4 linked regions of the Notamacropus eugenii genome follow. The protein of the gene in region 1 interacts with the protein of each later gene in a biochemical or structural test. Links are inferred from orthologs where the notes say so. Each region holds a gene or a part of one and is shown on either strand. Other genes may lie near its edges. The genes, in order: GSK3B, NFE2L2, SREBF1 and MUC1.

The links.
Region 2: of the proteins of GSK3B (region 1) and NFE2L2, one has a biochemical effect on the other in vitro, tested with the Homo sapiens proteins (2 studies listed by BioGRID). The link is inferred for Notamacropus eugenii from reciprocal best matches to the Homo sapiens genes GSK3B and NFE2L2.
Region 3: the proteins of GSK3B (region 1) and SREBF1 form a complex in vitro, tested with the Homo sapiens proteins (2 studies listed by BioGRID, with this or other methods). The link is inferred for Notamacropus eugenii from reciprocal best matches to the Homo sapiens genes GSK3B and SREBF1.
Region 4: the proteins of GSK3B (region 1) and MUC1 form a complex in vitro, tested with the Homo sapiens proteins (2 studies listed by BioGRID). The link is inferred for Notamacropus eugenii from reciprocal best matches to the Homo sapiens genes GSK3B and MUC1.

The regions. Positions count from the first base shown.
Region 1 is NC_092876.1:345,958,111-345,966,473, reverse strand, and holds the start of GSK3B (glycogen synthase kinase-3 beta), read right to left. Parts: upstream 3,401-8,363; 5' UTR 3,363-3,400; coding exon 3,275-3,362; intron 1-3,274. UniProt on the Homo sapiens protein: Constitutively active protein kinase that acts as a negative regulator in the hormonal control of glucose homeostasis, Wnt signaling and regulation of transcription factors and microtubules, by phosphorylating and inactivating glycogen synthase (GYS1 or GYS2), EIF2B, CTNNB1/beta-catenin, APC, AXIN1, DPYSL2/CRMP2, JUN, NFATC1/NFATC, MAPT/TAU and MACF1.
Region 2 is NC_092876.1:240,169,334-240,177,017, forward strand, and holds the start of NFE2L2 (nuclear factor erythroid 2-related factor 2), read right to left. Parts: upstream 3,382-7,684; 5' UTR 3,137-3,381; coding exon 3,104-3,136; intron 2,954-3,103; exon of another isoform or gene 2,821-2,953; intron 2,398-2,820; exon of another isoform or gene 2,245-2,397; intron 1-2,244.
Region 3 is NC_092874.1:335,022,602-335,030,042, reverse strand, and holds the start of SREBF1 (sterol regulatory element-binding protein 1), read left to right. Parts: upstream 1-3,951; 5' UTR 3,952-4,276; coding exon 4,277-4,373; intron 4,374-7,441.
Region 4 is NC_092873.1:379,284,108-379,292,318, forward strand, and holds the start of MUC1 (mucin-1), read right to left. Parts: upstream 3,090-8,211; 5' UTR 2,976-3,089; coding exon 2,921-2,975; intron 2,309-2,920; coding exon 1,089-2,308; intron 980-1,088; coding exon 924-979; intron 775-923; coding exon 638-774; intron 366-637; coding exon 247-365; intron 146-246; coding exon 1-145. UniProt on the Homo sapiens protein: The alpha subunit has cell adhesive properties. Can act both as an adhesion and an anti-adhesion protein. May provide a protective layer on epithelial cells against bacterial and enzyme attack.

The sequences.
Region 1 (8,363 bases):
GTCACTGCTAGTTAACAGCTACCTACTGAAACCTGGAGAAAAACTCAACCTGTCAGCTTCTTTCAGACAGCACTTCTTTCCCACTATCATAAATGTTATCACTTCTAAGTCTTTCATGCTCAGTTACTTTCACCGTCAAACATCTCTCTCTCATACACACACACACTCTCATGCAGGATCCTGACAGCTTGCCAGTTTCTTCATTTTGTTCTTTGCTTTCCATTTCTATAGCCACCATAACCAACTTCTCACTTCAGCTGACTTCAAGTAGCCCCCTAACTCTGTCTCACTCTACTCCAATCCATTCTAAAGATAAATGTCATATTTAGCTTCTTCAAACATCATGTTCCCCATTCTACATGTCAATTCAATAAAATCCACAGAAGCTACCTTTTACTTATCAAAAAAAAATAGAGATAAATTTGAATTTGTCAACTGCCTTCCCTGTGGCTTTCCTCCTTCATCTCTTTTTAGCCAATGTCTCTGATGCCTACTAAGTCACATACTAACTCCTTCCTTTGTGGTTTAATCACTCTAATTCTCCCAACTAGAATACATTCTTTCTTTCCATACAGCAATAATAACTGCAAACATTTCTATGTAATTTCATTTATACAAAGCTTTTTTTCCTTGAAACAACCCTATGAAGTAGTATCAGTACTATTACTCTTATTTTAGATATTAAGTAATTTGACAGTCAGCTACATATGGCTCACCCCAATCTACTACTCTGCCTCCATCAAATTCTGACTTGAAATTTACCTTCTTCAAGCAGTTTTCCCGGATTAACTCTTCCTTTGATCATTCTTTAATGTTAAGTCCCCTTGGCACCCAAGCATTCAATTTGATTATATCACCCACACCATTTTAATAGATGATTTTATGTTTGTTTCCCCAGAAAAATGGTCTCAAGTAGCCCTATTTGTGCAGGACTCTCCATAGCAAATACTGATTAAATGTTAAATTATCCTTATTTCCTCAAAAATATCCCTAAATTCAAAGTCAGAGGCATGATTATATTTGACATTAAATTTCCACTTATTATGGCAATCTATGCCCATAAAAGATGAGTTTACAGATTCAATTTAATATACTATATTATTTATTAAAATAATACTAATTTACCAGTCAAAATTTAAACACATCATTCAGCAATGCTGCTCTCATCAGATACGTCAAATATAGCCACTTTAAAAGCAAATAAATTCTTCCAACAAAAAAAGTTTGAAGACAGGTAAAATTGCTTTGCTTTCTTAGCTGTAACTAATGAATGTTAATGGGTCTCAAAGAACTATTACTCCAGATTTCTATTATGAAAAAGACACATTCCAATAACTCAGGAGAGATTCCTACACTATTTTAAGACTTGCTTCATCACAGCTGAAGATTACAGCAGAATTTTAAATATTCATCTCATCTCACCCTTAATGTACTTATGATGGTTTGCCCTTCCACAGAGTAATGCATAGTTTGCTTCTCTCCCCATCCCTAGAATTTTAGTTGGCTAAAGACCAAAAAAACAAAAGCCTGATTATACTTTCCAAAATAAAAAAACTGCCAGTCACTACCTTTAACTTCACTATTTAATATCAACATTGATGCAGGCATACATCAAATAGAAGTTCAAAGTCAAGATGGTCCAGTATAGCCCTGAACACTGATATCAGTGTAAGGGCTGAATACCATTTGGTAAAGATAAGTAATTTAACCAATTTTTCAGAAAAGTAACCTGTATTGAGATTTCTTTTCTTTCTAACCAGGAAGTCTTTGACTCAAGAACAAAAAAGAAATTCTATGGAACCTTACTTCATCTCTCTCTTGCTGCATCTCACTTCAGGAATAAAGAGATTACAATTGGTCAAACTCTAGAAGTGCATTTCAATAAGATAAAAAACATTTTAAACATTAAATATTATAAACACTGTTCCAAGCTCACACATTTTCAAAAAGCACAAATGAAGATGAACTGAAATTGTTGGACATATGGCAATAACAGTAATAAACTATTAATTTTTGGTGTAAAGAAATAGATTAAAAAAGACAGTTTGACAACAAATTGCGTACATTCTTAACGTATTCATCTCTACTCCAGAAGCTATGAAAGAAAGGACTTATTTACTCAGTTGTCTGATCTTTTCAAAGCTCCAGATGAATTGAAAAAAAAATTTCAGAGAAAAATACAGTTTCTGAAAATATGAGTTAATTCAGAGTAAACTGGTGCATCTGTCAATCCAAGAGTGACATCAACATTTGTAAATGTATAAAATAAAATTGCTAAAGCTTTTTTCAGGTACAAAAAGAAATCACAATACAGACATTTTAAATAGTCCTTTAAATTACACTTTAATTTAGGACTTTAATAAAGCCATTTACAACAGTACCCCTCCAAATGAATAAAAATGATAGTTTTAATTGGCAACAACTGAAGTGTAACTGTTAGCATGCTGAAATTGACATTAAAATTCTAAATCACAAAAGTCAAACTGAAACGTGAAACTTTTTAATTAAAACACAGATCTCAATAACTCCTCATTAAATTTCTAACGTCACAGCCAAAAGATATAGGATGACATATTAAAACCAATTAGTCAACTTACAACATATGCAGCACTGCTGCTGTATAGTGTGGTGCCACAAGCCCATTATTTTTAAGGCAGAAATGAATAACCTCCAAATTTAAAACCTCATCATGGCACAAGCTGACCCTTCCGAGTACCAGCTATTATTTTACATATCCAAAAAATAAATGTTAAATATTTGTCTTTATTAAAAGCATAAAACCAAGATAACCATACTTAGGTCTGAGCTTCCTAAACATCTCTTCTCATTCAAAAAAAGACATCCACGCTTCAACTTTTATATTGCCTTGTTTTAAGCAATATATCTTTTTCTGTTTTTCCTTACTTAAAAAGATGATTGATTACTTAGCTCTCTAATTTCCTATAGATTCTTTAAGCAGTTGCTTAGGAAGACCATTCGTAAATATATTCGAAGTCATGCTAGATAGGGGGGAAAAACAAACTTGCAAACTAAAACATCCAAATAAAAATCACATTCTGTCAATTCAAGGTTAATGAGACGATGGGGGGAAGGTATGGAAGCAGACAGGGAGGTGCTTCACCTTTGAATAGTGACTACTTTCACCTTTTTCCATTACACAGGCCGTTGAATTTTTTTGGTTTCTAATCTATATTTTTTTAATCCTGGCATTTCCAGGTCTTTATTTTAAAGGGAAGGGGTAAAGGGGTAAAAAAAAAAAAAAATCAATACTCACTGCTAACTTTCATGCTGCCAAAAGCTGAAGGCTGCTGCACTGGTTTGCAGCTCTCTGCAAAGGAGGTGGTTCTGGGCCGCCCTGACATGATCTCTCTTCTCCCGATCACCTTCTTCCTCCTTTTCTTCCTTTTGTTTTATTTTGGGGTGTAAGTTAATGACAAATGCAGCATTAAGCTCACACACACAAACCAAAAAAAAAAAAAATGTTTTCTTCTTCTTGGCTTTCACTTCTTTTACGTAGCTATATAAAACCAAACGATCGATTTGTATCCTCCTCCAAGACAGATGAGATATGGATTTTTGTATCTAGATGATTTGGGGCTGGGGAAAAAAACACAATTCTTCTCCCCCCTCACCTTCGGAGGGGGAAGGGAGAAAAACCTGAAAAATATCTGTTAAAATGGAGGGGGGAGGGAAGAGGAGGGGAGAAATTACTTGATTGGAATTTCAGTACTTTGAATATTATTTTTTTTCCTCCTCGGGGATCTTTTTTTTTTGAGTCAATGAAGAAGGGAAGCGGCGGAGGGATCACGAGTCTCTTGCTTGAAGAGAAAGGGGGATGGGAAGGGGGAAGGAAGGAGGGAGGCAGGGAGGGTGGCTCGGTGATGCGACTGGAAATGCTGCGGATCCGGCGGCGGGATCCGGCCGACGGGCGGAGGGAGCGCTCGGTCGGCGCGGCCGAGCGCGGCACGGCACGGCCCGGCCCGGAGAGCTCGAAGGCGGCGGATCTGGGGAGTCGGTCAGAGGCGGCGGGGGGCGGCGGCGGCAGCTCCTCTCCTCATTGCGCCAGGGGCAGCTGCAGGCGGTGGCTGGATCCAGCGGCCATGGCGGCGGCGGCAGCTCCCTTCAGACCCCAAGCAGCGGCTCCTGTGCTGCTCCCCATACGCCGGGGACATGGGAACCCGGCAACCGCTTCCGTCCCTTGAGGGCCCCCTCCCCCGGCCAAGGCACCGTCGCTGCCCTCCCGCCCCCTAGGTCCGCTCGCTGCCCACTCGGGAAATGTCCGCGCTTTGGCCCCAGCCCGGCGCCCTGACAGCGGCTTAGGGGGGCCCCCGGCTCCTCCTTGCTTCCTTCCTTCCTTCCTTCCTTTGTCACTCGGTCCGGGCAGCAGCGGCTCCTGCCCGCATTCACCAGGGTCGGGGGCTGCTCTGTATGAGAAGCACCTACTGCGCAGCCGCCTAGCTCCCCCTCCCCTCGCCTGCTCCTCCTCCTCCCCCCTCTCACCTCCGCCTCCTCCGCCTCCTCCGCCTTCCTCCTCCCTAGCCCAGCCCAGTCCAACACTACCCAGAGCCCCCACCGCCCGCGTAACAGGCGTCTGGGAATCGCCGGCCGAAGTCTGAGCCTCGCACACCGCCCTCCCGCTTCGGCCGAACGCCAACCTCAGCCAATCAGAGAGCGTCGTCTGTTCGCTGCTCCCTCCGGAAATAGCCGAGGGGCGGCAGGAGCCAATCGGAAGCGGCCGCTGAACAACCCTCCCTTCCCAACCCCCCACGCCCCGAGGCAACGGAAGGAGCCGAAGACTGCCGACGGAGGAAGAGGAGGAGAAGGAGGAGGAAGGAGTTGGAAAGCCAAGCTTCCTGGTTAGGTCACAGGCAATGGCTGAAATTCGTCAAAGGCAGAAAGGGCCAATCAAAGGCTTCCCAGTCGCCTGCTCTCGCTGAAAAGTGCGGAGAGGCCCAGCGTGGTTAAAAGCCCCAGGAAGGTGTGCGACCCTGCGCCTCGGCCGCTTTGTCATTGGTTGAAAAACTCCGCTGGGAGGTTGAACCACATCACTCAGTGATTGGCTGAGGGAAGGGGGCTTCCGAGGACATCCCAGCAAGCCCGAATCGTCCCATGTCTCACCGAGGCGGGGTGGGAAGGAGGGAGGGCAAAGACCTATAATGCTCTTTCTTATTGGACAACGGCCGCTGTGCGCTGGAGAGGGGAGAGGGGAAGGGGAGGGAGGCTGAACTCCTTGAGGTTGGCCAATCCGAACCTGCCTTGGGCCTATCGCAAGACTTTGGCTGAGTCTGATTGGTCCCCTGGCTTGGGCAGAGGGGAATGAGCTAGATTGTGGTCGTGGCGGAACCTCCCCTGGGTGGACGATCGGGGTTGGGTGAATTCTGCCTTGGCTGTTTGAAAGCCGCAGATATTGAGGGGTGGAGCAGACTCACGCATTCGCGACGTAATGGTTGGGACCAGTGGCGCATAGGTCTCAACAGCCTGGGGGCCCAGTTGCCTCTGGGCCTAAATCCTGGATCCCTGCCTGCGCAGGCGCGTGCGTGCGTGTGCGTGTGCGTGCGGGGGAGGGGGAGTGAGAAATTCATGTTCCGTACTTGTAACTCCGAAGGCCCAGAAGTTCTTCGTGCCTGGGCACGGGTGACCCCGCCCTCTCCTGCCGCACAGCTGGGGGCGGCGCTCGGCCTCGCAGCACCCTTACGGCCCGAGGAGCGTAACTCCTTGCCCTGCGCGGCGCGGGGAGCTGTCCTGGACGCTTCGGCCCTCCTCTGCCCCTTTAGTCTTAGGTTCTTGTGGGCGCTGTGCTCGGGCTCAGGGTCTCTGCCCCGGAAAACACCCGGGAGAAATGAGATCACCGCAGCTCGGTGCGCTCCCAGGGTGATCACAAATAGCTGCAGTTCCGTGAGTGGCTCCCAAACACGTGAAGGGGCCGGAGTCGTGCCGGATATCCTTGGGCCCTGGGTGCAGCCGGGATAATTATAGCTGTAGTTGGCTTGGGAGCTTCAGATCAAAGGGTAGTGTGTGAGGGCAGGTTATTTTTGATGGTTTGTTTCTTGCGTGTGGTATGTTGTGATTGTAAGAGGACCAAACCCCTCGCGCCGTAATGGGCACTTTCTCTCCCACTCCAAGCATCTTTTGGCCTGCTCCGACCGTCTGCTTGTTTGTGTGTTAAGCTGACTGGTACGCTGCTGTGTATGTATCGGTGTGGATGGAACTGTGCAGTTTTATACATGTCTGCGTATCTGTAAATTCAACAATTGGGTTCCCCCTAGAGGGCACCTGAAACCCCGGCGGAGAGACCATTGTCTGTGTTACAGGCAGCTGCTCAGATTCCTAGTATTATAACTCAGGTTGTATCATCCTGATATAAAAAGCAGTTCATACAAGAACTGAAGTGCCCCTGCCCTCGTAAGTGCGTATGGAAACGTGCACTTAGAGAGCGTGTGGTTTAATGGGTGTAAGTAGATGGAAAAGTCAGTGGGGAGTCTGGGATGGGTTGGGGAGAAGGAGTGACGGTAATGGGTAGAAGGGGGCTTTTACCTGAGCTGGATGCTTGGCTCACGTATCTCTGAGAGGCTCTTCGGGACTGAGGATTTGTGAGGACGGAGAAACTCTAGGCATGTGAAGGACACACCTCCTGAAACCCAAAAGTGTAACTTCCACAAATGATAGGCTTCAAAGCTCAAAGGGGCCTTTAGGGGAAAGAACGTCAAGCGCCCTCTCCATTCTGCCCCCTACCCCTTAACGTGTAAGAAAAGTCCAGTATACAGCAGGCTAAGAGCCTGGGATCCGAACAGAGGTTCTCAGATTGCAAATTCAGTTTTCTTCCTGAAACCTCGTGTTCTACTTTTCTGTGTAAATTTAACACATTTTGTTAGAAATTAAATACAGATTATCTCCATAATAGATGTTTGAATGTTACCTGAACTTGAATTTGTAACATATTTCCGAGGAGTCTGGTAACCCAAATTTCTCTTCTCCTGATGTACTCCCTCAAAAAAAGAGTGTAGGCAAAGTTGTATGTAATAGTTACAAGGGCTTAATCTGTCTTCAGAATTTCTGATAGAAGAATTTACACAAATAAAACTGTGTTCCATGTTAAACAGCCAAACCTGTCGATTGAGGATTGAAGAAGCGCAGGATCAGCTATGCAGTTAATGAGCAGAATTGGAAGTGCTAAATAGTTGAACCTGAGATTCCAAAGTTATTCAGTGGTTGGTCTCAAATAGAGACACGGAATAGCGGGAGATGTTAGGCTGAGTTTCTAGGAAGGCCTTTCTGTTCCCCACTAAAAGTGGAGATTAGGAAGTGATGCTATTAAAAATGTAGAAAAGCCAAAGAGAGGATTGAGAACACTATAAAAATCTTAAATACGCTGTGCCTTACTTAATTCTCATGTGCGTATATAATCCAAGTCCCAAAGTTCATTGGTATGGGACTCTCTCCTCATTGTCAGAGATCAATGTCCTCCACCACCCCTAAATGCACATTGCATGAAGGGTATGTCAGAGTTGTCCAGAGTTTGAGAGAGGAGAGGGATAGTTCTCTCAAAGTATTATAGGGAAATAGCAATTGATAAGCAGGTGTGTTCTCTGGGGACATGGCACTCAAAGATTAGCACTGAGTAATATACTTTAATACAATAAGGGTACTGCTTCCAGCCTTGGAGATCGCAACCCATCTGTGCTTTCTGGTCTGCAGTTCTTATCCATGACCACTTGCAAACCCCACAGTGAGAATCTTTTCATTGTGCTAGAGGTGACAGGACATGTGACAACCTTTGGATATCAGTACAGCACATGAGCTTTCTGTCATACCTCTCTCTTGCCCACCTCATCCAATTCTACTTTTGGGGGAGTTTTATATTTTATGTATAAAATATGTTTTTTTGTATACAGCCCACTGGAGGTATTAGATTATACCTCACATGCATATATCATTTGCTCTCTGGATCACCCACAATTTTGATTCTTCAGAAAAAAAATTCCAGCCAAATAGTATTGCTAGAGAAATATTGGCGTTGAAAAGATAGGGTTTGTTTTGGTTTTTTTTTTGTATTGGAACAACTTGGAATTCAGTTTCTCAAATACAACTCTGTTCTCTTTCTCCTATTCGTTGTTCAGTTCAGGGCCTTTCAAAGGTAAATATGTATGTAAACACTAAAAAGAGCTAGCTCTTAAAATAATTCCATCCAAAGGCTGGAAACTTGCACCTCTATAATTATCCTTACAATGTCTCCATAGAAGGTGACTTTGATTAATATACCTATACCAGTCCAGTATCTTTGCCAAGAAAACCCCAAGTGGGGTCACAGAGTCAGACATGATTGATTCCTGTCCTCAATGTAGCACTCCATATTAGAGTCATAC
Region 2 (7,684 bases), about 110 Mb from region 1:
CTAGGAAAATTTAAGTGCACCAGGCATGACTTTTTTTGTTGTGACTGAGAGGAGTTGAATGAGTCCTCCTACAAAGTGTTTTCAAAATATCTCAAGATGTTTCATAAAACAAAAATGTCAAGTTGCTCTCTATATCAAGAGAGACTACTGACTTTTCCTTCTCACTTTTCTTTTTGAACTTGACACTTATCACTGCAGTGAAAAAAGTAACTGCGTCTTTCATCTGCAGCACAATGTACAAGAGAATAAATGTAAAGTTTTTATGATGGGTGTGGGGAATTCAAGTTATATACTTAACGATCTCTTCCTAGATATCTTCTTCTATGTAAAGAGGGTGACAGCATATTTTCTGGTACAATAGGGTAAGTGGAATAGGGAAAGGAATAAGCATTTTTATTGTGCTTTTTTATACACACGTATGTACCAGACTGTAAGTGCTGAACACTTTTTACAAATATTATCTCACTTGATCTTAATAAATTACACATTTAAAATAAAGAGTCTCCACAAGGTCAAGAACCTTATTCCTTTGGTGATACCTAGCAAGTATATTACAAAAACTTCAATATCTTTATTCAATTTTTTTTTTTGCTATCAGCTCTGAAGCCTCATTTTATTTTTCTACTGACTTCAAACTGATGTTTCAGTGATAAAATTTTGCCATTTTGTTGTAAGTCCATTCTCCATGTTTCCTTTTGTTTCCTCAAGCACGAAATTTTAGGGCACATTTGAACGCTATCCTCCAAAACATTTTCCATTTCCAAAAATGAATCAATAGTATTTTGTATATGTTCAAGGAAGCATCTACACAGCCTCAGTTCTGGTCATAACTGAATCCAACAAAACAGCTATCTTTATAATAGTAAGCTATTAGGGCACAAAACCAAAATCATTCTTCGGGAGCAGTCCAAGACTATACAACTGCATAGGGACCTATAATGTCCTGAATGTATATCCAAAGAGAAGGTGAAAAGGGAACTCTTTAGTCGTGCCAAGATTAGATAACTGCTTTCAAAGAGGAAAGCATTCAATACCTTGAGAGGGTCAAGTTCAAATTAAAAATGTCCTTGAAACAATAATCTTTCTTAAAACTTCAAACAAAAGCCGAGAAATCCTAAGTAATCTTTTCACTTGTCTGTCACACTTTTAAAATATGCTATGATTTGAAATGATAAAGGACCTTACTTCCAAATTCTTCCAACTCGGACTACAGAACTTGCTAGCAAAAGGATCACCGTGCAACACAAGTATCCCGTCATCTATCCTTACAAAAAAGGCAGAACGAAAAGAAAGAAAAATTCTCTAACAGGAAGGGGACCGGGAGAAGGGCGGCGGGAAAAGAGACTCAAGGTAAAGCCAACTAGGCAGTAGTTTGGAGTCGAAGTTTTAATGTGTAAGCACAGACCTCATTTTACACAAAAATACAAACCCTGATCTGCCCTGGCAGCCCTACTCAGAACAACATTTAGCGTATTCTGCTTTACATATTTTAGAATTACAATCTGAGAAACTTCATCCAAAGACAAAGCAGCCCAGGGGAAAATAACAATTGCGCAACAGCTCCCCAGCTCCGACTCGCCCTGGCCTTGAGCTCCTCGAGCTCGGCCGGGCTGGCACGCTAGGCAGCACAAGGGGCCCCTCTAGGGCGGCCGCGACTGGCGGCAGCTGACCCCCGCCGAGGCCGCAGGGACGCGTTCGGAGGCCGCGGAGAAGCGCGCACTCGGGACTACCGCAGCGGGGAGGGGGTGCTGTATGTTGTACGGAACGTTTCCAAAACTCCCGAGTTCTGTAGGAGAGGAAAAGGGGGGGAGGCAAGACAAACTGAACTCCCAATTCCCCATTCTCTCCCGGACGACAAGCGGCCTTCATCAGATGCAGGGTCCAGGCCTGGCTATCTTCCGCCACGGTCCGCCCGGGGACCACCGTCAGGGGTAGATACACTATGAGCTTTTGGACGGCTTCATTCAGTCCGTCGGGGCCATCTAGGTCACTGCAGAAGCACAAAGCTAACTGGAGTCCTTTAAAGACTGGTTTTTCTCAGTACCCTAGAAATCCCTAGTGGAGGGTAAGCGTGATGAGGAACAAGCCTAGCCTTTCCCTTCCCCGGCTCGGAGATGCAGTAACTGGAGAGGTGGGGGCGGGGGAGGGCTAGAGATGATCGATCTCTATGGAAGCCCAGACTTCCAAGCCAGACGTGCGCCCCGCGCTCCTCGCTCACTCGAGGGTCCGGGGGCCAGTCCATACCTCATCCTCCCCCTGGCGACTAAGCACGCAGGCTTCAAGGCCAGAGAGAGCAGCTCAGGAATGGAAGTGCGAAGAGACGAAAGAAGCTAGAGCAGGCCCCGAGGGCGCTTAGGAAGCTTCTCCTCCCCTGACAACCAGACCCCGGGGAGGGGGGCAAGGACGGGGCGGCGCAGGGGCGGGGGCGGTGCAGGGGCGGGGCGGCGCAGGCTTCGCCCCACCCCCTCCCACAGTGCCCAAGGAAGAGACCAGAGACACCTCCTCAACTCACCCATCGCCGCGCAGCCGCAGTGCGGCGACCTGGGGAGGAGGGGCTCCCGGAAGACAGCGGGGGCGGGAACAGCTGTTGCACCCCCCACCCACGTCCCCCTCCCCTCCGGAGTTGGGAATCCCCACCCCCTCCGCACCTCCTCTTCCTCCTCCCTCAGGAAAGGAGACCCAGCGCACCGGGGCCGCCGACGCGCTCGTGACAGGCAGAGCCGGGGGGAAGCTGCCCCCCTCCCCTGCCCTGCATCCACGGCTTCCTGGGGACTTCCCCTCTGGATCCCCCTAGGGCGCCATCCTCAACTCCTCCCCCACCTCTATTCTCTCCCGAGGAGGGGGTCGGGTGTTATTTTTCCTTTAATCCTAGACTCCTCCGCGACCCCGGCCTTCCCCGCCGTCCCCTCTCGCCGGTGGACTGTACAGAGAAGACAGAGGGAAGGAGGTCGGCCCACGTCGCCCACGTCGCCCCCGTCCCTGTTACCGTAGGCGTGTCCCCCCCTTGCTCCCGGAGGCGTGACGTCCGCTCCCCCCCAGCCCCGCTCTCGTGTGCGTGACGTCTCCCCCCCTTCGCCAGTCCCGGAGGTGCCGGCAGTAGCACCTGTTGCGACGGGGGCAGCTCCAAGTCCATCATGTTGAGCTTCCGACCCCTGCGCTGGGGCTCCCCGGCCGGACTTCTTTCTCTCAGCTCCCGAGACAAGGTGCGGAGAAGGAAGGCGCAGCGGCAGGGACGGGGTGGCGCGGAAGCGGCTCCTTGAGTCTCCCTGGCACTTCACTGTATTCCACCCGAGGGCCGGGACTCCCCGGCACAGCCCCGGCAACGCCCCGCCTCCGACCACCCTGGGGGCGGAGAAATGCGTGGCCACGCCCACCGAGGCCGGCCGCTTCCTCCCGGCTCCTCCTCTTAAAATCCCCCACCCTTGCGGCTGCTGACTTCCTGCGGGTTTGGAATGGGGTGGGGGCTGGCGTGGGAGCACTGGGGGGGAGGGGAGGAAGGGAAGGAGGTATTGAGAATCTTTGTGTTTAACTCTCTCCATCCCCGTCGGGGGCGGAGGGCGGGGAGAGACCCCTCCCCAAAACACAGGCCTTACCGTAATAACCGTAGATTTTTGAGTTGGAAGGCAGCCTGGAGTTCATCTCGTCCAGACTCATCATTTTGGTCATGAGGAAACTGAGGCCCAGGGAAATTTAAGTGATTTGCTCAAGGTCACCCAGGGTAGTAAGAGGAAGGATTGGAACTTCCAAAACCAGGAGTTGGACCCGGGTGTCCCAACTCCAAGAGACGGTGGACTCCCCCTGTGCGTATGTTTTGTGCTTGTGCGCCTTTTAAGACAAAACCGTTTCTCCGGGCGTATAATTTAGAGCAGTGTAGTGTACGTGTGTCCTTTAAAACAAACCAAAGAAACCATTTTTCCCCTTACCTCCCAACGAGATTGCCACTCGGAAACATAGTGGATGCTGTCTCACCGACCTGGCAAAGAGTACGCGGTGGCCTAAGGGAGGCTGGCTCCGAGGTCCAGGTTGAAGGGCACAGCTCAGTTTTATCTCTACCTACCGCACCTACTTGAGGGTCAGGTGCCAGCCAAGGAGCACCAGGACAAAAGCTGCCTGCTAGTCAGCACCACCTTTCCCTCACTTTCCCACCCTCTGCTCCCAGGGAACTCTTGTTAATTCAGTGAAAGTGTAATCAGTAGGAAGTTCTGGAACCACTCTGGGACTTTGGAGTTAGGTCCCCTCTCCTGTGTTTGCCAAGGCCCAAATGCCCTCCTGTTTACTTTCGCTCTTTAGAAACATTGCCAGGGACAGCGCTCCAAGGTCGATTAGAAAAGTCCTCTTGAGATGGAAGCTGACTGTTCAGCTTGGGCTTTGCAAAAACTGAAACCATCTCCTTCTCTTTCCCCCCATGTCTCATCTTGCAGCACTGAGCTGTTGCATAATCCTTAAAAATAAAATTAACTTCGAAAGTGGCAAAAGCCTCAGAGGAGAAAAGGGAATGTGAAGCCCTGGAATATGTTATTCAAAAGTATTGGAGATTTTTAAAAGAGAATTTGTGCGTGCATCACTGTCAACAGGTGAGTCCCAGAGGCTTTAAGAACTAGATCTTTCCCATATGAGAAAGCTGAGACCCAGAGAATTTAAGTGACCTAGCATTGTCTCTGGATCTAAGAACCTTTCTATCTCTTTGATAGGTTCAGCTTTTGGTTTCTAGCTTTTATTTTAAAGATTGTTAGAAATTAGGTAACATACAGATGAAGAATCCCTAGCTTTATTTATGTATGACAAACGTTTAAGGTGTAAAAGATGGACGAGATATAGTAGTTCCCAACCTGTGGGATGCTATTATTTTAAAGGGTCTATCTCATTAAATGATTCCTCTATAATAAGCATAGTTTTTGTAGACTGAATAATGTCTCATTTAGATTCTTATTTTTCAGAAGTATTCAGATGAATAAAACACAAGTTCACTTAAAAGCATTACTGAACTCATAATAACTTTTTGTTATGTAATTTTTCAATCATTGGTTACTAAATAGTACAACAATAACCCATAGGTCCAGGAAACTTTTTTTTTTTAATATTGAAAAGGAGTTTATACACACTAAAAAGTGCTAGTAGCCAACGAACTAGATATAAGATTTTATGACCCTAAGAGTTTCTGTTCTAGGTACTGTGGTAGATAAAAATAAAATCCTATCATCTAGCAAGGGAGAGAAAAAAGTCTTCATGCAAGTATAAAACAGCCAGAGAAAGAGGTCAGGCTACAATGTTTTTCTGTAGGAAAAGACTAGAGTCAACGGTCTTTTAGATTTCACTAGCCAATTCAGCCATTTCTACTTTACATAAAACAGAAGAGCTGATTGGGTAAAATGATCTGATCCTCATCAAAGTGTTTCCCCCTGGGGAGATTTACCTTGGTCTTACAACCTTAGTACTGAAATGGGTTTCTGACCATGTTAGGTAACAATTGAATTTAGATTTCCAGGAAAGCCAGAAGAGAGTAGGTAAAGTGCAGAGAATAAAGGAATTGCTTAAAAGAGTTTGAAGGCAAGCTTCTGTCTGACCCCTTGTCCCTTCTGTGGCAGTCTGAGTAAAAAGAAGAAAGTATCCTAACTAATTGAGGATCCTAGCTGAAAACAAAAACAAACAAAAAAACTTCATAGCTATTGGCAAACAAGGTTAACTAAGAAGAATGAGCCCTTCTTGCTAAGGAGAATATTGCTAATCCCAACACCTTCAGTAAATGAAGAACCAAATTGAGTAGGTGGCTCTGAAGATAGCACTTAATCTGAAGATTATAGCTAGAAATGATAATAAATAAAATAGTACTTATATAGCACCTACTACTGCCAGGCATTGTACTAATCACTTTACAAAAATGGTCTCATTGATCTTCATGACAAAACCCTATTTTACAGTTGAGGAAACTGAGATTAAGTGACTTGCTCAAGTTCATATAACTAATGAGCACCAGAGATTGAATTTGAACTCAGGACTTTTTGACTCCAGGCTCAGCTGCCTCTAACTTATGCACAGGAGGAAGCTGAAAGAGTAGGAGGCTGATAGATCAGATTGAAGGAGCTAGGGAATATCTTTTTCAGGAGAGAGTATAATTCTAACTAATCATAGTACCCTTCCATGGCAGAGGTGACTAAAAGAGTTGGTGAAAGAACTGTAACAGTATCCGTAGAAGATGTTGTACAGAATAGATAGTACACAGCTAGATGGTACACAGTAGACAGAGTGCTAGACTTGGGGGTGGGACAACTTGAGTTCAAATCCAGCCTGAGATGCCTCTACCTCAGTTTCCTCATCTGTAAAATGGTGATAATAATAGAACCTAACTTCTAGGTTATTGTGAGGATCAAATAAAATAACATATTAAGTACCTTGTAAACCATAAAGCAACATGTATGTATGTATGTGTACACATACATATACACACACATATATATGTATATATATTATTATTATTATTAGGTGAATCTGAAAATAATCAGTTGACATTACCTAGATCAGAAAAACATGCCTTTTGAGGAAGTAAAGTAATATCAGTAGGAGATAGCAGCTCTTCATTGTGAGGTTCATGAGTTAACCCTTCATAATCAAATATAAAATGCTTTATCATTCCAAGCCTGTCATAACCTGCCCCTCCCACCTTTCTAATTTTTTTACACTTTATGATTCAATGACACTGGCCTCTTTGCTATTTCTTAAACATGATTCTCCATCTCCCAACTCAGAGCATTTTCCCCCATGTCTGGATTGCCTTCCTTCCTCATCTCTCCTCCTGGCTTCTCTGACTTCCTTTAAATCCCAGCTACCAAATGATCTTCCTAAAGGACAGGTCTGACCATGTTTCCCCCCATCTCCCCCCTTAATAAATTCCCTATTACCTCCAGGATCAGATATAAAAATCTCACTGTCATTTAACTAAATTTATTTATACTGTCATTAAAATACCTTTGTTATTAATTGTTAACGATGGCTGACTGATAAAAAGTAAAACATCACTGGGGGCTTACAAGTTACTACTTGGAAAGAATTTTTCGTAGGTGTGCTGGTAAATGTTTAACAAGCGACTCTGAAAAAATACACACAGAACACACTTTATGTTTAATCTATATTATTAATATTTTCTCCATCACTTTACGTCTCGAAAATCAATAAAACACAAGCTCTGATTTGCAGTGTTTGCCAATTTCCAGGGTGTAAATGTTCACACTGAAAATTTAACAGTTGGCTTTCGATGCTGATACCAGCTGGCTCTTGGTCAGCACTGATTTTGGTCCAATATGCAAGTGACTGTAATGCAAAGTAGAAAGTGATCATAAGAAAGGAATGACAGAGCTGATATTATGACGATGCAGAAGAGGGGAAGATGACTTCTCCTGGCAGGAAAGGGGAAGGCTTCATGGAAAGGATGTTATCTGACCCAGACCTTGGAAAACTGGAAAGATTTCAACAGAGTAGATCAAGGTGAGGCTATCTCAAACATTACAAAAAAAATAAAATTGGGCCAAACTCCCCCCCCCCCCCCCCCCCAGAAACAAGAAAGCATGGGGCATAGGATTTATAGATAGACCTTAGAAATGATAAACCCTTAATCTTTATAGATGAAGAAACCAAGGCTAGATATTAAATGACTTTTCTGGGGTCATGAAAGGCAAGGTTTAGAATCTAG
Region 3 (7,441 bases), on another chromosome or scaffold:
AAGCATCTTGCTCTTCATTTTTTTTTTCTTTTTTGCAAGGCAATCAGGGTTAAGTGACTTGTTCAGGGTCACACTGCTAGTAAGTATCCAGTGTCTGAGGTCAAATTTGAACTCAGGTCTTCCCGACTCCAGGGAAAGTGCTCTAACCACTGTACTACCTAGCTGCCCTTCATCATTTCTTATAGCACAATAGTATTCCATCACAAAGACAGCTACCTGGCAAAATGGATACAACCATGGACCTGGAATCAGGAAGACCTGAATTCAAATCTGACCTTATACACTTAATAGCTGGGTGACTGGGGGCAAGTTCATTTAATGTTGTTTGCCCCAGTTTCCTCAGCTGTAAAATAAGTTGGAAAAGGAAATGGCAAACCACTCTGGTATCTTTGTTAAGAAAACCCCATATAAGGTCATGGAGAGTTGGACAAAGATGAAAAGACTGAATAACCACAAATTCTATCACAATCATATACCACAACTTGTTCAGTCATTCCCCAACTGTGAATGACAGCTATTCTCAGGAATACAATGGTCCCAAACAATTCTGAAGGCCTTATGATGTAAAATACTACCTGCCTCCAGGTAAGGATGGTGTATGAATGCAGATAGAAACATACTTTTTTTGGCTTTCTTTGTTATTCTTGTTTTTTTGATCTGTGTATCTTTGTTTTGCAAGACTACACATTTATAATCTATATCAAATCACAATTTGAAACTCAAAATTAAAAAAAATGTTGAAAATTTTTACTTAGATATAATTGAGAAAAAAATAAATTTAAATTAAATTTAAAATTCAAATAATTTTTTAAAAAGATAAGCACAGGGACTGAAATGTGAATGTCAGTAGACCTAGCTTCTATACTGACTTCCTGAAACTTTCCATGCTTTGGTTCCCTTGTCAAATAAATGGAAATAATATTCAATATCTCTCGCAGAAGGTTGCAGTGAGGACAAGGGACATGTTGGATGAAGGTGCTTTGAAACAATAAATGTTACGTATTACTGTATAGGAATCTGTGAACCAGATGGGAGCTCGGGCTGCCATTGATATATACCTCCTTTCTTTGGCCCAACAGGGATGAAAAATGCAATGTGTACTTATAACTGCTTGTCAGATGAAAACCAGATTATGTATAATGCCTTTCAACTCCTTCAGATCTACCCTTTCCCCAGACTGGGAGTGACGTGAGAAGAGCCCACCCATTTCAAGCTTTTCAATTAAATCACTCAAGATTTTTTTCCTACAGGGTTGAAGCCATCCAGACAAATGCTTCAGGACTTTTGGCCCACTAACTATTGATTATTAGCCCCGCTCTGGGTCCTGAAAGAAGGGAGGCTAGAACTTGTTTACATTTACCACAATCCAAATATCAACTAAGTATTTACTAGGTGACTGTATTCAGTACATCCTAGACTGATAGAAATGAAATGGTGACAAAAATGAAATAAAAGATAAAATCTGTCCCTCAAGAAACTTGCCAATTAGTTAAGAAGACATGCCCAGTAAAATGATACCTTATTAATACTTGAAAAGATCTATGATTTCTTTTGCATGAAACACAGACTCCACTAAGCCAGAGGCAGATGTTGGAATCCCTCTACACCTTTCATTAGATTTTGTGAGGAAAGAAACCTTCACTTGGTGGCCAGTCTTCTGTTGTGGACCCTCTCCAGATTTAACTAGGCTGGTCTTCCGGAGGCAGGCACGCAGTCTTTGGATCCCCCATCAACAAGGCCTACTTTGATAGTAGCTTGTCTGTTCCTCTGTGGTACCTAGAACCCAGAATCACTGACACACCAGGATGAGGCATTAAAATGAGACTTTACTGTAAGAATAAAACAATAAAAAGGTGAAGATGAACACAAGTGCAAAGTTTTATCCAAATCTGATAAAAAATCAAATGTTAACCTGTATCATAGAAGGAACCAATGCCAATCATTAAACATTTATGCCATGTGCCAGGAATTGTGCTAATCTATGGGAATACAAAAAAGCAGTAAAAGATAATCTCTGACCTCAAAGAACTTGCAGAATAATGTGGGAGGCAATATACAAACAAATATCTACAAAACCAGCTTTATCCAGGATAAGCAGGAAATAATTAACAGAAAGAAGGCACTAGAATTAAAAGGCAGTGGAGAGGGCTTCCAGTAAAACATAGGATTTTAGTTGGGACGTAAAGAAAGTCAAGGAGGTTAGTAGGTGGAATGGAGGAGGGAGAGGGTTCTAGGGCCTGGGCATCAACTATAGACGCAGCTGAGATAAAGATTTCACCCACTCCTTATTTTTTTTCTTTTTCTGAGACTATGTCTCCCTATCTGTCACCTAGGCTTCTGACCTGCAGGGAACCCTGGCCCAACCTTCTGCTGGACCCTCTTTAGGCAGCCTGATGCCACCCACCCTTCCTCTGGATTTAACCATATATGTTAGACACATTTTCTAATAGGCCTTAGACTCTACAGCAGCTCAGAACTCCCAAACCCAACTGATCCTTCAGTCGCAGCCTTCCCAGTGGTAGAGGATAGAGGCATGAACCTCCAAACCTGATCAACTTAGTTTTACAGATTAAGCACCTGAGGCCTGGAGTGAAGTGACTTGCCTAAAGTCAGACTGGTAGCAATTCTATTTCAAGCCCAGGCTCTGGGACTCCAATTCCTCTAAGACCAGAACCTAGTCATCCACCCCACCTCTTCTCCTGGCCTCCCCATCTGTGGTCACTTCCCTCCCTGGGTCTCACTTTACTCATGGAGAGGTTGGATTAGAGCAGGTTTTTTTTTTTGGTTTTTTGGCATTCTTAAAATTACTGAGGACCCCAAAGAACTTTTGTTTATGTGATTTATATCTTTTGATAGTTGCTGTACCAGAAATTAAAACTGAGAAAATCTAAATGTTTATTAATTAAAATAACAGGCCTATTACATGTTAACACAAATCACATTTGTTTTATGAAAAATAACTATATTTTTGAAAACAAAAATATTCCGTGAGAAGACTGGCATTATTTTACATATTTTTGCATATCTCTTTAAATTCTGGTTTAAATAGAAGACAGCTGGATTCTGATCTCCGCCTTGGCATGAATGAAGCATGTTGGTTTGTTCTTCACATATGAAGAAAATCTGGCCTCACACAGATAAGTAGCTGGAAAAGGCAAGTACATTGTAATAGACAAATAACTATGATTATGAAAATGGCTTTGAACTGGGGACTCCCAGGTAACTGTCTTCAGACCACACTTTGATAACCACTGGATCAGACCCCAAGTTAAAAGTAGGAACTGGCAGTGAAGGTGGGGCAGGAATATGGACAGAGTCTTGATCTGCCAGTCTGGATGGCATCAGCTCGGTTCCTTTCAACCAGGCTCCAGGTGACCTGCTCCACCTGGATTGGTATGGGGAAAGCTGGCTGATCTGGTCCCTGATTCAAAAGAGAATTTTTACGTCTGAGGACAGGCTAAGCGTCCAGGGAAGCTGCAAATACAGGGCGGTCACAGTCAGCCTGGCATCTCCATAAATTCGGGGACCGAGGGGTCTGTGCGCCAGGGCTTCCCTGAGGGGGAGGGTGCCAACCAGGCGAGCTGTCCCCCCGCGTCGGGGGCCCCCTCAAATCCTCCAGCAGACTTCGGCCTCGAACCCTGCGGAGTGGCTCCGCACTTGGCAGAGCTAGGTGCGCCCTATACCTGGTCGCTGCCCAGAGAGCCCCTCACCCCACGCTCCCCCCAGGTCCAGCCTCCCGGCTCCACGTGGTCCCCAGCAGCGGACTGGCGCTGCCCAGGCCTTAGGTAGCCCCGTTCCTCGGCTCCTTCCTCCGCTTCGGAGCGTCCCTAGAGGCTCCGAGTTCGGGATGGGGCTGTCACTCAAAAACTGAAGGGCGGGGGGGGGGGGGGGGGGGGGGGGGGCAGGATGGGGTGGGGTGGAAACACCCGGCGCCGATGCCCCGCCCCGCGCCCTCTCCCTCCCCTCCCCCTCCACGGGGCAGTTAAGCTACCAACTTTTAGCGGGTATGGCGCCGGGGGCGGGCGGGTGGCGACCCTGGCACTAACTTTGTTTCAGGAACTGGGCGAGGCCACCAGCCGCCGGCGGGCCTGGGCAGAGTTCGGGGCGTGCACGGTTAGTCCTCCGGAAAGCGCGCGGTCCATGGAGCAGAGCTAAGGGGAGGCTCAGGCAAAGGCGCGGTGCGTGGAGAGGAACGCCACCAGCCCGGAGGAGGCGTCTGGGGCCGGCGGGCGGGACGCGGCGGCGGCGGAGCTCCGGGCTCCCTCCGGCCGCCACCATGAACGACCTGTCCTTCGACGAGGCGGCCTTGGATCCCTCCCTGGCCCTGGGCGAGGCCAGCGACATCGACTCGGCTCTGCTCAGTGACATCGAAGGTGGGTCCCGGGGAGGGGCGCGTGGGAGCCCGGCCGGGAGGGTGGGGGGGGCGGTGATCGGGGCAGCCCTCCGGGATCCTCAGCCTGGCTGGGCTGGCCCCGGGCGTCGAGGGGGAGTGTGTATGCGTGCTTCCGCGCGTGTCTGCGGCTCGGGATTCCGCGTGTGGCTGTGGCGTGTGTCTGAATGTGTTCGTGCCTGTCCGCGGGCACCGAGTCCCAGGATGCGCGCACAGTTGGGGACTCGCCGTCTGGAGGCACCCGGGGAGACCCAGACCCTCCCCCCTCCCCGCCGCGGACCCCTTCCCCAGCAGCTGTCCGGCCCGGGGGGACTCGGTCCTCCCCCTAGAAGCGGCCACGCCTCTTCGGGCCGCGGAGGAGCGAGGGGCTCCCAAATGGTGCGGCCCCCAAGCCCCGCCCCCCCGAGGGCCCAGGAGCTCGTGACGTCAGCGTCAGCCAGAGAGGTTACCCCCGGTCATTCCCTCGGCCCGCCAGAGTTCACTGAGCTCTGCTGGAGCCTGCAGTGGGAGGGGAGGTGGGGGGGAAGGGGGAAGCGGGGGGAGAGGAGGGGGAGAAGGGAGCAGGAGACGGCCCTGCCCTCCGGCGCCCAACAACTCTGCCCTTAGGAAACCACCCAGAAAATATCCCAGAATCTAGCCTGGGGTTTTCTTAGCAAAAGCTAACCCGGGTGCTCTGACCCATCCACGTGGAGCTTCTGATAAGCCTGTGACTGGGAGAAGGAATTGGCCTTGAATTATCCGTTCATGCAGCCCTTTTAAGCTTTGTAAAGCACATTACTTAAACCTTCTTGTTTAAGTGTGTACAACCTGTAGTCGGTTGGTACTACAGGTATTGTGCTAATGGAGAAACTGAGGCCAGTGAGTCACGGTAGTGAGTGTAACAAGTGCGATTCTCAAACTCAGTTCTCCTAACTCCAAGTGCAGGGCTCTTTCTTACTCTGTATCAAAATGCTTGTTTTACAAGGTAGACCGCCTTCTGTGGGCAGTAGGAAATCCATCTTTCTATCAGTCCCTTTTATAGAGAAATCTTGCTCTGAAGGGGGGATATTTACCCCTAGAATCTTTCCTGACAGAAAACTGTACTTTTTCCTTCTCAGGGCCAGAATTATTTTTCATAAATTGAGGGATTGAGGCACTGATTAGTGAAGTAGGAATGGGGTAGATTAGAGTATATTAGTGAGAGATCGCTTTCTTTTCCAGAAGATTCATTCATTCAACAATAAACTTTTTATGTAAGGTCTACTGTTAGATAATAGTGTGTACAGAGCATTCTGCTGATGGGAGTGGGGGCTGCAGGGAAGGGACAGAGAGAGACAGAAAGTTTAGATGAACATTGATAGCTAGCTGCTAGGTCTGGAGTCAGGAGGACCTGAGTTCAAATGTGAACTCAGACAGTTATTAGCTGTGCGATGCTGGGTAACCCTATTTGCCTCAGTTTCTGCAATCTGTAAAGTGGAGCTGGAGAAGGAAATGGCAAACTACTCCAGGATCTTTGCCAAGAAAAGCAATGGGATCATGAATGGTAGGACACACCTGAACTGCAAGGATAGCTAGCAGTTATATGGGCTTTAAGATTTGCAAACCTGTTTACAAATATCACCTCATTTTATCCCCACTATAATCCAGGGAGATAGGTACTATTATCATCATTTTACAAATGAGGAGACTGAGGCAAAAAGGTTTAGTGGCTTGCCCAAGGTTACCTAGATGATAAGTAAGAGACCTTTCTTGACATTGCATGGATCCCAGTGGAACAAAAAGGCTTCCCATTGATTATTCAAATAATAATATCCAATCTTACAATCTAAATAACTTTTCCTGTTCCAGTGTATACTCTGCATAGCTGCCAAATGGATATTCCCAAAACCTAGGTCTGACCATGTCACTGCTGTACTCCTGTAGAGCACCTTATCACCTCCAAGATTAAATAAAAACGTCATGTAAAGGTCTTTTCAATTTGGTACCTTCCTGCCTTTCCAGCATTCTTCACATTACTCCCCTCCACAAACTGTATTTTCCAGCTTCCTCACACATGACACTGTATCCACCACCCGGTGCCTGGAAAGCCCTCCCTCCTCCCCTTCAGTTCTTAGCATTACTGTCTTCCATTAGGTCTTGGCTCAGATCATGTCATCTCAGCCTCTAGAGCTGTTCCCTCTAATCCCTCATGGACTCTATGTAGCATGTCTTTCCACATTTATGTATGTATCATTACCCTCGTTCAAATGTAACCTCCTTAAGGACAAAGACTGTTTTTGCCTTCTCTTTGTATCTCTGGATAATATTTGTAAAGCACTTAACCACAGTGCCTGGCACATTGTAACAGGTAAATACAATCTTGTGTATTGCTGGACTGATTGATGAGGGTGAAAGAAAAGTGTAGATGAAGTACTATTAGACCTCAAAGTACAGTCAAGGTGTCACTTTCATTTGGGCATGAAGAGTTGAGTTGAACTTTAAAGAAAGAGAGGAATTAAGTGGACAGTTTGGGGTTGGAAAAAAACTCCCACCCATGCATGGAGACTACCTTGAACAAAGGAGATTGAGGTCAAGGAGGAAGGAAATCAGCATTTATTAAGTGCCCATTAACTAATTAATTAATGTGCCTAGCATTGTGCTAAGTACTTTACAAATAGCATCTGCATATAACGTAATGTATATAATATATGTTTGCATATGATATAAATAATGCTCATTTAATGCTCACTACCATCCTGGGGAGTTAGATGAGGAAGCTGGAGGCAGGTAGAGTGACTTGCCCAGGGTCACACAGCTAGTGTCTGAGGCTGGATTTGAATTTAGGAAGATGAATCTAACTGATTCCCAGCCCTGTGCTCTATCCATTGCATCCCCTAGGTGCCCTAAGAATATGATAGCACTGGTGATAGTTTGGAGAGGGGATCAACTGAAAACAGGAGTAATTGAGAGGCTGTTGCAATAATCTAGGTAAGAAGAGGTGACCACTTGGCCTGCGGTGGGTGACTGTGATATTGGAGAGGTGGAGCCAGATGGCGAGAGAAGTTTCTAGAAGGCAAAATGGATCAGACTTGT
Region 4 (8,211 bases), on another chromosome or scaffold:
CATAGGGACTGTGCTTGGTGTTGCTTGGGGGCACATATCGTCCATGAGTATGATAAGGGGGGTACTCATTCATGGGATGGTAAGAATGTTGGGATGGGAAGATGTCCAGTTGTCCACAATGTTCCCGGCGGAAATAAGATATCACCTGGAAGAGGTGGAGATGAAGGCAGAAGGGCACAGTGGCTGATGGTTAGGGAACCAAGACAGGGGGAGGACCCAAACATCTGGGCTGGACAAAGCACTTACCAGGGCACTAAGGTGCAAAATTGCCAAAGCAAGCAGGATACAGACTATCACAAGCAAAGCAATGGCATAGCCTGGCACAGCAGAATCAGTAGATGAGGCTTTAGAATTCCACTCACGGACTAGAAAAGAGAGTTGGATTGTAAAAGAATCTCCCAAGATGCCTTGTCCCAATCTTCTTTAAGACCCCTGCTCTTCTCCCACAAAAAGGGAGTGTGTGCCTGTGTACTTAGGTCCAAGGAGACCCATGAGTGTGGGGCAATAGAACCTGGAAATATGAATTCCTGGCTCTGGGGCAGACTATCTGGGGGAATGTTCCAAGTTCCCAGAGAGTACCTGGGTAGTGAGGTGGGGGAGGGGGGCACTAGTGGGGGGGGGGGGATAGAAACCTTACCAGTTATATCTGATGGTGAAATAGTCAGGTTGTACATATTCTTATTCACATTTTCAGCAAACAGAGTCTGTACTTCATTGGCTGTGATGCTGCCCTCTTGGAAGACCACGATACAGTCTGTAATCACAGAGCCCATTCTGGGCACAGGAAAATTGGCACCTAAGTCCTGTACATTCCAGTTCCTGTTTCAGACCACTTTTCCCTCCTCCTGGAACCGGTACTCCTTCTCATATCTAAGCTGGTGACCTACCCACCCCCAATACCACCCATATCTGCAGATTGGTACCTGAACTGGAGCAGGTAAAAGGTCAGAAATGCCTTGTTTTCGTAGACCTGCCGCAACTGGGAAAAGAGAGGAAGGAAGAAGTATAGCCAGAACGCCAGAGGAATAAATGGCCATCTGGGGGTTAGGGGAAGTCTTCCCAACCTATAGGGAGAGGATGGTACCTACCAGATCATTAACAGAATCCTTCAAGCTTTGATAGTAGAAAGAGCTGGGATTCTCCAGGGAAGAGTTAAAAGGCTTTTGGAGGATGTGGAATGAGAGGAAAAACATACTCTCATAAATGATAACTGGGAGGTGAGAGGTGCTTTGGCTGACAGTAATGGGTTGTGATATGGAGCTGTGGTTATTGTTAGGGGTTGGAGTGGCTTTTTGGTGAAGGGTTGAAGAAATATTCTTGGGGTTATCAGTAGTTGCTGCAGTGATGGGAGTGCTTTTTGTAGCTATAGTGCTATGGTGACTAGTGGGTGTAGTGGAGGTGTGATGGTCAGAGGGTGTGAATGTGCTATGGTTAGTGGGGGGTGTAGAGGAGGTGTGATGGTCAGTGGGTGTGAATGTGCTGTGGTTAGTGGGGGGTGTAGTGGAGGTGGGATGGTCAGTGGGTGCGGATGTGCTGTGGTTACTGGGGGGGGCAGTGGAGGTGGGATGGTCAGTGGGTGCGGATGTGCTGTGGTTAGTGGGGGGTGTAGTGGAGGTGGGATGGTCAGTGGGTGCGGATGTGCTGTGGTTACTGGGGGGGGCAGTGGAGGTGGGATGGTCAGTGGGTGCGGATGTGCTGTGGTTACTGGGGGGGGCAGTGGAGGTGGGATGGTCAGTGGGTGCGGATGTGCTGTGGTTAGTGGGGGGTGTAGTGGAGGTGGGATGGTCAGTGGGTGCGGATGTGCTGTGGTTACTGGGGGGGGCAGTGGAGGTGGGATGGTCAGTGGGTGCGGATGTGCTGTGGTTACTGGGGGGGGTAGTGGAGGTGGGATGGTCAGTGGGTGCGGATGTGCTGTGGTTACTGGGGGGTGTAGTGGAGGTGGGATGGTCAGTGGGTGCGGATGTGCTGTGGTTACTGGGGGGTGTAGTGGAGGTGGGATGGTCAGTGGGTGCGGATGTGCTGTGGTTACTGGGGGGTGTAGGGGAGGTGGGATGCTCACTAGGTGCGTATGTGGTAGATATGCTGTTGTCTGTGTGAGCTGTGGTCCCAGTACTGTGGTGGCCATTGATTTCAGGTTCATCAACAGCAGTTACGGGTCCATGTGAGCTAGATGAAGCTGTGGCACTGAGGGTAATGGTTGTCCTGTGTTTCTCGGTAGTTCCGTTGCTGCGGTTTGTGTCCAGAGTTGTTGCTGTAGCTGCCTCATGGTCAGGGCTGGTAGTTGTGCCAAAGGTACTGTTGCCAATAGCTATAAGAAGTCAGAGACACTGAGTTAGGCTGGAGCCCAGTCTGATCAGGGAGAAGCAACAGACCTAGAGAGATTTAGGCAGAAAGTAGAAAGAAAGAAATTTTAGGAAGTAGGTGGTTGGAGAAAACCCAAAGACACTAGGCACTCCACCTTCCTTGAATTCATCGTTGGCTCCATGTTCTGCTTCTAGTTTTCCTCCATTGTTGCCCTGCTCCCTGCCCCACCACACACACACACACACACACACACACACACACACACACACACACACACACACACACACACACACACACACACACTTCCATAGTTGCCTCACCTTTCCTCTGCTTTCACCCCCTGGAAACCTTCTAGGTAATCAAGCAGGATCCCTCACTGCCCAAAGCTTTGTCCTTTCAATAGGGTCTCCTCTCAGTCCCAGTCTCTGTAACTCCTTCTTCCTCTTCTTCTTCCTCCACTTTGGCCCCAGCTTTGAACCCTTCAGCTCACCCTCACATCAGGATTCCCTCCCCCTTCAGCAAACTCCGCCGGAAGTAAAAACTAGCCCAGAGGCTATTTTAAAAATGGTATAAATCAAGCCACCCCATTCCCCATCTCTTTTTCCCCTGCCCTCACCTGTAGGTACCAGGAACAATACAAGGACCAGGGTGGGTTGGATGCCCGGGGTCATGGTGGTAACCAGCGGAGGGGAGCGTTCAGCAGGCAGGGCCAGGTTCTGCCCGAAAGGCTGTGTCGGGCTCAGGAGCCCGCTGCTTTATACCAGTCCTCCGCCCGAGGCTCCGACAGCCAGAGCAGGTGACAGGTGACACAACCCCACCCCCCTCCATCCCTCCTCCCTTCTACTTCTCCTCCTTCTCCTCCACACACATTCCTGACCCCTCGGGTACAGCGGGCTCCAGATCACTCAACCCTTTGACAACCTGTTTGTTCTCCACCTGGCGTCACCCCCATCTCCCCTCCCTCCCTTCACACGGAAGGGAGCCAGGTCACCTGGAACTTCAGACCTTCTTTCTGGACCCCGGGGCGGTGCCCGGGGTGGGAAAATGGACTGAGTTGAGAGGTGTTAGATCAGTACCCCTGGCTCCCCCGAGGGTCTAGGGCTGCGGACGCCGCATCATCTTCTAGCCCCCGGAGTCCCTGACTTCCTGGGACACATCTTCCTGTAGGACCCCTCTCACGACCCCAGCCCCAGCACAAAGGAAACTTGAATATCAGAACAGCTACCCCATTTCCTGAAACAACCCCACCCAATGCCAGCCCCTCCCGGTCCGTTCTGCCCCGTAGATCTGGCCCGAAACCCGACAGTCCCCGCCCCAGGGGTTTTCTGTATGCCTGGTTGCCTTCCGCGTTTTCTCACGGGTGCGTGGTGGGGGGGAGGGGGATAAAGGAGTGGGAGGAAGGAGGAAGTAAGAAGAAGAAAAGAGGGTAAGATCTTTGGGGTCCTTCCACCCCAATTCTCCAACTCCGCACGCATCCTGTCAGGTAACAGAACCATTCTGCCCCCTGGTGGTCATCAGGAGCCTTCAAGAATTAGAGAGGGAGGTGAACGGTTCGGGGGAGAAACACCTGAGGAGGGAAGTGGGGCAGAGCAGCCCCTGGCAGGGGAGAAGTAACAAGGAACACAAAACGACTCTGAATTTGGGGGCTGGAGAGCCCCGAATGTCGGTCCGTACTTAGTCCCCAACTATATGAGCCTGAATAAGTCGCTTCATCTTTGAGAGCCGATTTCCTACTTTATAAAATAGGGCATAACAATCCTCGTGTTACCTAATTTGTGGGTTTGTTTTGAAAAGCAGTAAGATAATGTGCATGTAAGGGGGTTTAGCAGGGAAACCCTATAAACTGTGATACTAGGGTCAACTATTGCTAGAATTATTTTAGCATTCGGCTTCTTCCCTTGTAAAGGAAGAAGGAAAAGACACCGAATTTAGAGCAGGGAAAGATCTCAGAAGCTATCTAGTGGGAAGGCAAGGGGAGGAAATGAGCATTTCTATAGTACCTACAATATGCCAGGCATTGTGCAAGCATTTTTTAAATTAATTTATTTGTTTTCTACAATCACTTCCATAAGTCTTAGATTTTCTCCCCCTTCCTACCTCCTCCCTCCCCAAGACAGCATGCATTCTTATATGGGTTCTACACATACATTCTTATTAAATACATTTTCACATTAGTCATGTTGCATGGAAGAATTGAAATGAATGGGAGAAACCATGAGAAAAACCCAAACAAAACAAAACACAACACAAGAGGAAATATTCTGCTTCATTTTGTGTTTCAATTCCATAGTTATTTCTCTGGATATGGATGGCATTTTGCCTCAAGAGTTCATTGGGAATGTTTTAGGTCCTTGCATTGCTGTGAAGGGCTAAGTCTACCAGAAAAATTCCTGGCTCACTGTGATTGTTACCATGTACCATATTCTCCTGGTTCTGCTCCTTTCACTCAGCATCAGCTCATATGATTCCTTCCAGGCCTCCCTGAAGTCTTCCTGTTCATCATTTCTTATAGCACAATAGTATTCTATTGCATTCATGTACCACAACTTGTTCAGCCATTCCCCAGTTGATGGGCATCCCCTTGATTTCCACTTCTTGGCCACCACAAAGAGAGCTGCTATACATATTTTTGTACATGTGGGACCCTTTCCCATTTTTGTGATCTCTTTGGGATACAGTCCTAGTAGCAATATTGCTGAGTCAAAGGGTATGTACATTTCTGTAGCCCTTTGGACATAGTTCCAAATTGCTCTCCAGATTGGCTGGATCAGTTCACGGCTCCACCAACAATGAATTAGTGTTCTCACTCTGTCACATCTTCTCCAACATTTATCATCTTTCTGTTTTTTCATGTTAACCAATCTGATAGGTGTGATGTGGTACCTCAGAGTTGTTTTGATTTGCATCTCTCTAATCAATAGTGATTTAGAGCATTTTTTCATATGACTATAGATAGCCTTAATTTCTTCCTCTGAAAACTGCCTGTTCATATCCTTTGACCATTTATCAATTGGGGACAAGCATTTAAAAAAATTTTTTCTCATTTAATACAACCCTACTAGATAAGTGCTATTATTATCTAGTCAAACCCTTCATTTTAGAGGAACTGAGACTCAGAAAAATGAATTGTTCACACAGATGGTAAGGAGCAGAAGCAGGACCAGAATGATGCTTCTACCCTTGTCTTATTCTCCTTACAAGCATGTTATGATGAGACTTAATCAAACATCAAGCAATTATTAAGGACCAACTCCGTGTCAGGCATCTCTGTGCTAGATGCTGGGGATACAGTGACAAAAGCTGATTGCCCCTGACCTCAGAGAGCTTCCATTCTTATCCAGAAATTGACATATCACAGAATCACAGAATTTTAGAACTGGAAAAGTTCTTGGCAGCTGTAAGTCCAACCAAAGTTCTAAAGGAATCTTCTCTATAACATATACAAATAGTAGCTGTCCAAGCCTCCACATACAGACGTCCTGGGAGAAGGGGGTGGGGAAGAAGCTATCTATCATTCCCCTTTGGGGCAGTGCTAACTGATAGGAAGATTCTCCTGAACTCTCTCCTGAATTGTCTCCTCTACACATTCCCTTCATTGGAATGACTCCTAATTCTTCTCTTGGTGTCAACAATTAACAAGTCTAATCTTTCTGGAACAAGACAGTCCTTTAAATATTTACATATATCCCAATAAGTAAATGGCCAAAGTATGTAAACAGGCAGTTTTCAAGGAAAGAAATGAAAGCTATCGACCATCATATGGAAAAATTATTGAAATCATAAGAAAAATGCAAATTAAAACAACTCAGATTTCACTTCACACCCATCAGATCAAAAAAGATGGTAAATGAGGAAAATGACTGTTTACAGGAATGCAAGCAGACATACTAATTGATGGAGCTGTCAAAAGGTCCAACCATTCTGGAAAACAACTTGGAACTATACCCCCCAAGTCACTAAACTGTATACTCTTTGACCCACAATACCACTATTGGGAAAATATCCCAAAGACATCAAAGAAAGGAAATGAATCATATATGCAAAAATATTTATAGCAATATTTTTTGTTACAGCCAAGAACTGGAAAGAAACTGTCCATCAATTGGGGAGTGGCTAAGCAAATTGTGGTATATGAATGTAATAGAATATTACTATGCTATAAGAAATGACAGAATGGATTCAGGGAAACCCAGAGAAAGACTTTTATGAACTAATAAAGCAATACAGAACCGTGGATGAATTGTTGGACATGTTGTTAGCAAGATCTGAATTCAAATCCCATCTCAGACACTTCCAGCTATATGACTGTAAGCATGTTACTTAACCTATTTGTGCCTTGGTTTCCTCATATGTTAAAATGAGGGCATTGAACTGGAGGACCTATATTTAAGGCCTCTTCCAGGTCTAAATCTATGATCCTATGAAGTGAGCAGAAGCAACAGAACTATGTATACACTGGCCACAACATTGTAAAGGAAAATAACTTTGAAAGACTTGAAATACTGCTGGGTGGTGCACTGGATTGAATGCAAGGCCTGGAGTCAGGAAGGGTGGAGTTCAAATTCCACCTCAAACACACAGTAGCTATGTGATCCTAGTAAGTAAATGGCCATCCCTTAACCTCTGTCTCAGTTTTCTGAACTATTAAATAGGGATAATAACAGCACCTACCTCCCAGTGTTTTTGTGAGGATTAAATGAAATATTTGTAAAGTGCCTAGCACTATAGGAACATTACAGCTGTCATGAGGGATAGGCTAATGAGGACCCAGTCCTGGGAGCATGCACAGGGTACCCACAGGAAAAAGAGGAAAGAAAAGAACTTCAAGGAATTTTTTTTTAAAAATGCACTGAGGGACCAGAGGACAACTCAAAGGAGGACATAGAGAAACAGGGTAATGTTGGCACTCCAACCTTACGTTTAATATACAAGGTATTCCAAAAGTCTTAGTGCACTTTTGAGCTGGGGGGGACACCCTGTATATTAGAAGGAACAAACTATATACAATAAATTACTTTTCATTTACAATCTCTGATTTCTGTTCTCCTTTGTGCATGGAAATATGTATGCTGATCATTTTTTAGTTCATAATAAAATTTAAATAGAAAAAAAAGAAAACTGGATTGAGGAAGGATTTTAAATCAGTTGCACATTGACCTCACCCCCACCCCCACCCAAGTCTTCTCTTGTTAGGACCACTGGTTTGTGGAGTACTGTTCTTCAGTCAAGAAAATCTGAGTTCAAATCTAACTTCAGATACTTACTGTGTTACCCTAGGTGAGTGACTTAACCTCTGCCTCAAATTCTTCCACATTAAAATTGGGATCATAATAGCACCTACCTCTCAGGGTTTTTGTAAGGATCAAATGAAAAACTGTGTTTAGCATAGTGCCTGACACATAGTAGGTACATATATATGTGGCAAAATACAGTGGTATTATCCCTTTTTTATTATTTCAGGAAATTATGCCCTTTTTAACATGGTCCCAAATCACATTAGCTTTTTAAATTATTTCATCACAATATTGGTATATATTGAGCTCAAAATTGCCAGGCCTAGAGGCCTGTGGGCTACCCGAGTCTTCTTACCTCACCTCCCGAGGTCTTCGGTTGGCCAAACCGGATGCTCGTATGAGAGAAAGGACGTTCCAGAGTCGAACAAGGGTTGAGCTTTATCTCAGCCCAGACCTTCTGTTCCTCTGGCTTCGCCCTGCCCAGGCATAGTTCACCATCTTTCGGGTCCTAACACACACGCTCATGCTCCACCTCCCCGGCGGGGCAGGCGAGACGGGCCGGTGGTGCGCCCTCGGCAGGACGGGAAGAAGGACGGACCGAGGCCTCGGGATCCCACCTCGGCCGGCGGCCGCCGGCCTTCACCTTCATTGCGCCACGGGTGGCTTTCGTGCG